Rattus norvegicus: one gene and its partner. The protein of the gene in region 1 purifies or fractionates together with the protein of each later gene. This does not show direct contact. Links are inferred from orthologs where the notes say so. Each region holds a gene or a part of one and is shown in the gene's direction. Other genes may lie near its edges. The genes, in order: Ranbp6 and Armcx3.

The links.
Region 2: the proteins of Ranbp6 (region 1) and Armcx3 purify together in Homo sapiens (co-immunoprecipitation; 3 studies listed by BioGRID and IntAct, counting the BioPlex papers as one, with this or other methods). This does not show direct contact. The link is inferred for Rattus norvegicus from reciprocal best matches to the Homo sapiens genes RANBP6 and ARMCX3.

What each region holds. Positions count from the first base shown.
Region 1 is NC_086019.1:236,987,352-236,991,655, reverse strand, and holds the start of Ranbp6 (ran-binding protein 6), read left to right. Parts: upstream 1-1,204; coding exon 1,205-4,304. UniProt on the Homo sapiens protein: May function in nuclear protein import as nuclear transport receptor.
Region 2 is NC_086039.1:102,228,880-102,233,408, forward strand, and holds the start of Armcx3 (armadillo repeat-containing X-linked protein 3), read left to right. Parts: upstream 1-1,584; 5' UTR 1,585-1,668; intron 1,669-2,203; 5' UTR 2,204-2,282; intron 2,283-2,733; 5' UTR 2,734-2,794; intron 2,795-3,107; 5' UTR 3,108-3,177; intron 3,178-3,468; 5' UTR 3,469-3,615; coding exon 3,616-4,529. UniProt on the Homo sapiens protein: Regulates mitochondrial aggregation and transport in axons in living neurons. May link mitochondria to the TRAK2-kinesin motor complex via its interaction with Miro and TRAK2.

The sequences.
Region 1 (4,304 bases):
CCGAAATTCAGATTTCTTGGCAAAGTTTAAGACAGAACACAATAAATAAAGGTCTCTGATGATGTAGCAAAATCTAGAGCAGTTACAGTGGGAAGTTCTTGGTGACAAACGGTGGCCCCACCTTAAGACTAGGTAGAATTTATCTGTTATCTTAGGCAAGGCCTCCACCTCCCTGGCTGTTCATTTCTTGCCTTAGAGTAGTACTTTATCTGCCTCTGTCAGCCTACAGAATTACCTAAGGCTGAAATGAGAGTGACAATGGCTGACAGAAAGGAAGATCTGATCAGACTGTTACACCTTATAATTATGGTTTCAAGTAACACATCTGCCTAAATAAAAGATACATAGCCTCAGGGAATTTGTTCTTAGGATAACCTTTGCTTCTTCCTATTAACCGGTAATTAGGAATCTAGTACTGTCATATTCCAGGTCAGAAACATGTAAGGAAAATCTTGCGTAACAGAAATACAGTTTATACAGAAAACCTGGATTCAAGAAGCTTCATTATTGCTTCAGATCATCTCTCACCTTACTTGTCTTTCCACTCTCTGTTATAACCCACAGAGCAAGAGATTCTGGTGTATGCCTGAGTTTGAACATCACGGGTTCTACTTCTCTGGGTGTGGTAATGGGGAGGAAATCCCTAACCTTTAATTGAGCTTATTTTGCAAACAGCTTTATTATGGCTTGACTCATTATACCCAGTTAACAATTTAAATTGTATAATTCAGTAGTTCTTAGTATAACGGCATGACATTGGGGAAACCATCATCACTATCAACTGCAGAACATTTTTATCATCCCTCAAGAAGAAATCTCGGACAGCAGTTATACTCATTCCTCCTCCTCCCCCATTCCATAGCAAGTGCAAATTACTGTTTGTATAGATGTGCTTATTCGAGATCTTTTATTTAAAAAAATGGCATCATACAGTATGTAGACTTTCAGAGCGAATTTCTTTCCATCTCCTTCCTGCCTCTACAGGCGCACAAGCATCAGGATCGGAGAACAGAAGGGCGATACCCCTAATAGGCACTCAGCTCCCTCTACCCTGCAAAACTCGGACCCCAGCCTTCCAGCTTTAACCCGCCGCAGCGGAGGGAGCAGCGCCCCACCCATCCCCGTCGTCGCCTCACTGACGTCATTGCTCCCAGACGCAGACTCCCTCCCTCCTTCCCGGTCGCGGTAGCTTTGACAGGGCGCGATGGCGGCGGCCGGGTCTGCAGGGTTGCCGGCGACCATATCGGATAAGCAGGAGTTTTACCAGCTTCTGAAGAACCTGATCAATCCAAGCTGTATGGTGCGGAGGCAAGCCGAGGAGGTCTATGAGAATATCCCAGGTCTGTGTAAGACTACATTCCTCTTAGATGCCGTCCGAAATAGAAGAGCAGGTTATGAGGTGAGACAAATGGCTGCCGCACTGCTACGACGGCTTTTGTCCTCTGGGTTTGAGGAGGTCTATCCAAATCTACCTTCTGAAGTGCAGAGGGATGTCAAGATTGAACTGATATTGGCCGTTAAGTTAGAAACACATGCTAGCATGAGGAAAAAGCTTTGTGATATTTTTGCGGTGCTGGCCAGGAATTTGATAGATGAGAATGGCACTAACCATTGGCCAGAAGGTCTGAAATTCCTCATTGATTCGATCCACTCTAAAAATGTGGTTCTGTGGGAAGTTGCACTTCACGTTTTCTGGCACTTTCCTGGGATTTTTGGGAACCAAGATCGTCACGACTTGGATATCATCAAGAGGTTGTTGGACCAGTGTATTCAAGATCAAGAGCATCCAGCCATCAGGACATTATCTGCTAGAGCTGCGGCTGCGTTTGTCCTTGCTAATGAAAACAATATTGCTCTTTTCAAAGACTTTGCAGATTTGCTTCCTGGAATCTTACAGGCTGTGAATGATTCCTGCTACCAGGATGATGATTCCGTGCTAGAATCCCTTGTTGAGATTGCAGATACTGTACCTAAGTACTTGGGTCCCTATTTAGAAGATACTCTGCAGTTGAGCCTGAAGTTATGTGGAGACTCTAGGCTTAGCAATCTGCAACGCCAGCTGGCTTTGGAAGTAATAGTGACCTTATCGGAAACTGCGACTCCGATGTTGAAAAAGCATACGAATATTATCGCACAGGCTGTGCCTCATATATTAGCAATGATGGTTGATCTTCAAGATGACGATGACTGGGTAAATGCTGATGAAATGGAAGAAGATGATTTTGACAGCAACGCCGTTGCTGCTGAGAGCGCCCTAGACAGACTGGCTTGTGGACTTGGTGGAAAAGTAGTTTTGCCGATGACCAAGGAGCATATCATGCAAATGCTTCAGAGCCATGACTGGAAATGTCGACATGCCGGATTAATGGCCTTATCAGCCATCGGAGAAGGTTGCCATCAGCAAATGGAACCAATTCTAGATGAAACGGTTAACTCGGTTTTGCTTTTTCTTCAGGATCCTCATCCAAGGGTAAGGGCTGCTGCCTGTACTACACTTGGACAGATGGCTACAGATTTTGCACCTAGTTTCCAAAAGAAATTCCATGAAATAGTGATTACAGCTTTGTTGCGAACCATGGAAAACCAAGGTAATCAGCGTGTGCAATCTCAGGCCGCTTCTGCTCTTGTTATTTTTATTGAAGACTGCCCCAAATCATTGCTAATCCTATATTTGGAAAATATGGTAAAAAGTCTCCAATCCATCTTGGTAATTAAACTTCAAGAGCTGATTCGGAATGGAACCAAGTTGGCCTTAGAACAACTCGTGACAACCATTGCCTCGGTGGCAGATGTAATAGAAGAAAACTTTATTCCATATTATGATATATTTATGCCCTCACTCAAACACGTTGTTGAGCTCGCTGTTCAAAAGGAACTTAAGCTTCTTCGAGGAAAAACTATTGAGTGCATTAGCCATGTTGGACTGGCTGTGGGGAAGGAAAAATTTATGCAAGATGCATCGAATGTGATGCAGATACTGTTGAAGACACAATCAGACTTAAATAACATGGAAGAAGACGACCCTCAGACTTCTTACATGGTTTCAGCGTGGGCCAGAATGTGTAAGATCCTTGGAAAAGACTTTGAACAATATCTCCCGCTGGTTATTGAGCCTCTTATCAAGACTGCTTCAGCTAAGCCTGATGTCGCACTCTTAGACACACAGGATGTGGAGAACATGAGTGATGACGAGGGCTGGCAGTTTGTAAACCTCGGAGACCAGCAAAGCTTTGGCATTAAAACTTCAGGACTTGAAGCAAAAGCAACTGCTTGCCAGATGTTGGTTTACTATGCTAAGGAGTTAAGAGAAGGATTTGTGGAATACACAGAGCAAGTTGTGAAGATGATGGTTCCTCTGCTGAAGTTTTATTTTCATGACAATGTTCGCATGGCAGCAGCAGAAGCCATGCCCTTTCTCTTAGAATGTGCAAGAATTCGTGGCTCAGAGTATCTTTCACAGATGTGGCAGTTTATATGTGATCCCTTAATCAAGGCGATTGGAACCGAACCCGACACAGATGTGCTCTCAGAAATAATGAATTCTTTTGCCAAGTCCATTGAGGTAATGGGAGATGGTTGTCTCAACGATGAACACTTGGAAGAGCTGGGAGGAATTTTGAAGGCAAAACTTGAAGGGCACTTTAAAAACCAAGAGTTACGGCAAGTAAAAAGGCAAGAAGAAAATTATGACCAGCAGGTTGAAATGTCTCTTCAAGATGAGGATGAATGTGATGTTTACATTCTGACCAAAGTATCAGATATTTTGCACTCATTATTTAGTACTTACAAGGAAAAAATTTTGCCATGGTTTGAACAGCTACTCCCATTAATTGTAAATCTAATTTGTTCAAGTAGGCCATGGCCAGACAGACAGTGGGGACTATGCATATTTGATGACATCATAGAGCACTGCAGTCCAACCTCATTCAAATATGTCGAGTATTTTCGGTGGCCAATGCTACTCAATATGCGAGACAACAACCCTGAAGTCAGGCAAGCTGCTGCCTATGGACTGGGAGTTATGGCACAGTTTGGTGGAGATGATTATCGTTCTTTGTGTTCAGAAGCCGTCCCACTCTTGGTAAAAGTTATTAAGTGTGCAAATTCCAAAACCAAAAAAAATGTGATTGCTACAGAGAACTGCATCTCAGCAATCGGAAAGATTATGAAGTTTAAGCCCAACTGTGTAAACGTGGATGAAGTTCTCCCACACTGGCTATCATGGCTTCCGCTGCATGAAGATAAAGAAGAAGCTATTCAGACTTTGAATTTTCTCTGTGACCTAATTGAAAGTAACCACCCAG
Region 2 (4,529 bases), on another chromosome or scaffold:
TTTATCTTAAGAAGTGACTTTTAGCTGAGGAAGTCTGAAGTGTTCTCATACATTACAGGGATGAATTTGCTAAGGATGAAATGTTCTTAGCCAGAATCTCCTCTCTTCTAGCCAGTGCTTGGGTCAGAACTATCACCTCTTTCCTCTCATGCCCTATGTTGATTGTGAATAAGTATTTGTTGTACCTGTTCTGGAAATACAGAGACAGATAGTCGATTCGGTTCCATTTATTTTACTAAGTTCAAAATCATGTTTCAATTCTGCTTTTTAGAAGCTATACTGACATAAAATTTCCTGGAGATTAGCTAACTCCTCGACTCTCGGAACTATTGATGTGCTCCCATGTTTTTCCTGGGATTTTGAAAGTTCCACTCGGATACCAACCTTGATCGAAACTGAGAGGAAATTTCTCACCGAAGAGCTCACGTTTTGGAAAGCTGCTTTACACTTTGTATTACGTTATTTGTTCTTGTACTATGTGTTAAGTTAACCTTATGCCAGTGTCGGAAAGCAAAGGCGGCTAACTTAAACACGGAGAGAATGTAGTTACTTTATTCCTTTTTCTATTTTCGAAAGTTAGAATTGCAAGTGAATTCTTGTGCTCATCAAGGTAATGGGTGAGATGGTTTCCAACTAATTGCTAGATGCCAAGTTCAGTCAGGTTTGCCTTGGTCTTTGCACCCCTGTAATACTATTTCACTTGCAGATGCTGGTCTCTATCTGTACCCCAGTATTTTTCATACTGGTCTTGGCATATCACTCGTGTATCAGCATGTGTACCCCTGAATCTTTTCTGTTATTGGCTTTGGAAAGCCCAAGTCTTCTCCTGGTTAACTTGTGCCTTTCAGTGCTTGTGGCTTAGTCAGAAGGGTTACATACTCTTGGCTGGCTGATTAGTTCATTCAGGAGGTGCTATGTTCATTCAGCGGTGTTATGGGATAGGCCCCAGAAGACATTAACATTCCTATAAGGAAAGTGGATAACACTTTCCAACAAGTGAGAAACGTGGGACTTTTTAGAGATATTTCCCCGGATGGAAATATCGTTATTGTATTGTCTTCTTCAGAAATGCAAGCTGTGAGTAGGGTAAGCCAAGGCAAAAATAACAACAACGACAACAAAAGTATTACAAAAGAAAAACGATACACTCTCCTTCCAGGTTTACTTTTGTGCTGACTTACTCATTTCAGGTTTAGGACTATATTTCAGAGGGAATGGTAGAAATTCATAGCTGGGAGGAGGGGAGGTAGAGGGAGAAGCTGCTATCCCAAGAGTCTAGGGAAGAAGGAGTCAATTAAAAAAAAGTACAAGTGACCCATAGCCCCAGGGGAGGATGCTGTCCTGTTTTGGTAATTGGAGGAAGGGAAGCACGACTAGAGGAAGATGGAATTAACCGCAAAGAAGAAAGAGTAACAAGGCCTAGTATGGGGGAGGGAAAAGAGGGGGGCGGGTCCTCTTCTGCCGCACTGCTGGTGGGAGGGGAAAGTGGGGATCCGAGTTGGTGGATTACGTCGCTCTCACGTGACCAAGAGCTGACGTGTGCAGAAGTCCTTCTTGTCCAGGTCGTTGTTCCCGTCTGAGTACCAGCTCCCTATTACCCTGAGGGCGGGCGGGCCTGCGGCCGAGGAAAGAAGGAGGCGGAAAAGGAATTGTCCCGGATCCCTGCAGGTCAGTGCCTGGGATATTCCATAAAGTGGGGGTGGTGGAGGGTAGAGGGCGGAGGCCGTCGCAGGTCCGGAGCCGCCGCCGTCGTCTCTCTCACTTGCTGCCCTCTTTCCAAGATATACGTCCCGCCTGCAGCCCATTTCGATGCTGCAAAACAGTGAGTAGAGGGGTGTTAGGGCAGGCATCCAGAAATCCAGAGATGGGAATCTGCTGTGAGCTGAGGCCGGCAATCCGGAAAGGGAGCTGTGGCCTGGGTGTTGGCCCCTGGTCCGTCAGGACTGTGCCAGAGGGGGAAAACTGGACATGGGGTCCTGCATGGTGGGGTACAATGTGATGTGTCAGCCGAACCCTGACCTAGCTCTCGGGCGGGAAAGCTTTAACAACCAGGCCTCCGAATTAGGAAAGAGTTTCGTTCTCTGGGGACTGGTCCGTCCACTAAGCACTCAGTAGCGGCTGTTTCCCGTCTTTCTGCCTGTGGCTGTGTCTTCCTTACCATGGCTCTGTGGCTAGTGGGTCCAAGCCTCTCCCGGGTGGCCAGTCTTTCCGTAGGTTGCGGTACAACGCCAGGCAAGAGAAGAGGAAGGAAATTAACCAGATCGGTGAAGGTCGAGTTGAGGGTAAGACCATCTGGGGACCCTAGGAGCAGCGGGGGCTAGAAAAGGGGGGAATACCAGAAAAGGTAATCTAGGTTTAGACTTGAGTCTAAATGTGTTTCTCACACTCCCCGAACTGTGGAGAAATGGCGTTCTCTCTCTCTCTCTCTCTCTCTCTCTCTCTCTCTCTCTCTCTCTCTCTCCCTCTCCCTCTCCCTCTCCCTCTCCCTCTCCCTCTCCCTCTCCCTCTCCCTCTCCCTCTCCCTCTCCCTCTCCCTCCCTCCCTCCCTCCCTCCCTCCCTGCCTGCCTCCCTCCCTGCTCCCTGTCTCTCTCTGTCTCTGGGTGTATGAGTGTGCTCCTGGGGGTGGGGGCGGGGGGCAGGGTGACAGAAGGAAAACCTATCAGATAGTTTCTTCATAATCCTTCTCTCTCAACAGCACTTAGTGCCCTTGTTTTCCATCTGTCACCCTGCAGGTCTGCTGTAGCAGGTGGCACTGCTTGAAGCAAGGGAGGAACTTTCCCCGGCGCAGTGGAGGTCGGTGTGGGCGTGGGGGGCAGCCTGGAATGGGGGAGGGGTTAGAAATCAGCTTGGGTTTGGCCAGGCTCACTCAATCCTACTTTGTTTCCTTGCGTCCTTGCGTCCACCCATTTCAGACTAGGGAGGGGGCATAGCATGTTTGTGTTTTGGATGGCACAGTGAGGTTTAACCAAAATCTGACAACCTGGATGGTAAATTAGGAAAGCATCAAATATACACTGGATGCGTCAAAGCCTCGTTTTTTTTTTTTTTGTTTTTTGTTTTTTTTTTGTTTGTTTGTTTTTCTTCACTGCTGCTGGTATCTCTGCAGATCAGAAAGATTGCTGGGTGTGGCATAAGTCACAGGAAAGGAAGAAGGGGCAAGCCGCTGCTTTAAGGAGGTCAGTGCAAGAGTGCTTATCCTATGGGGTATCACGGGAGCATGTGACAGTGGGAGCCCAGAAATACTTGTGGACGCCATTGCCTTTATGCTTAGGGGCAAGAGTGAACTGGGGGTGGGGAGGGGGGAGAGGAATGTAGGGGGGGAGAGTAAAATGAGGGACTTAGAGGTTTTTGTCAACAACCTATATTCCCTATCCAGCATTCGATTACTACTTTATTGCCCCACTTAGCAATTGTCTGCATGGAGCAGCACAAAGAAAAAGCCAAACCTTCTTCTCTTCCATTTCTAGGTTTACCTCTGAAACCAATTACTGTGGCCTTGAAGTGACTTGAAGAACATTACTCTCCACAGGCCTGCACTCAGGCCCGAAGCCCTCTTCCCCTATCTTGAGTGACTACTCTATTTCTTGGTCCCTGCCGTTGCCAGGGACGATTGCATGGGCTACGCCAGGAAAGTAGGCTGGGTGACTGCAGGCCTGGTGATTGGGGCTGGAGCCTGCTATTGCATTTACAGATTGACCCGAGGAAGAAAGCAGAACAAGGAGAAAATGGCCGAGGGTGGCCCCGGTGATGTGGAGGATGCTGGGGACTGTTCTGGGGCCAGGTATAATGACTGGTCTGATGATGATGATGACAGTAATGAGAGCAAGAGTATAGTTTGGTACCCACCTTGGGCCCGGATTGGCACTGAAGCAGGGACCAGAGCTAGAGCCAGGGCAAGAGCCAGGGCTACCAGGGCTCGGAGAGCTGTTCAGAAAAGGGCTTCTCCTAATTCAGACGATACTGTTTTGTCTCCTCAAGAGTTACAAAAAGTACTTTGTTTGGTTGAGATGTCTGAAAAGCCTTACATTCTTGAGGCAGCTTTAATTGCTCTGGGTAATAATGCCGCTTACGCATTTAATAGAGATATTATTCGCGATTTGGGTGGTCTCCCAATTGTTGCAAAGATTCTCAATACTCGAGATCCCATTGTGAAGGAAAAGGCTTTAATTGTCCTAAATAACTTGAGTGTGAATGCTGAAAATCAGCGCAGGCTTAAGATATACATGAATCAAGTGTGCGATGACACAGTCACCTCCCGATTGAACTCGTCTGTGCAGCTGGCTGGACTCAGACTGCTTACAAATATGACTGTTACTAACGAGTATCAGCACATCCTTGCTAATTCCATTTCAGACTTTTTTCGTTTATTTTCAGCAGGGAATGAAGAAACCAAACTTCAGGTTCTGAAACTCCTTTTGAATCTGGCTGAAAATCCAGCCATGACTAGAGAACTGCTCGGGGCTCATGTGCCGTCTTCACTGGGCTCCCTCTTTAATAAGAAGGAGTACAAAGAGGTTATTCTTAAACT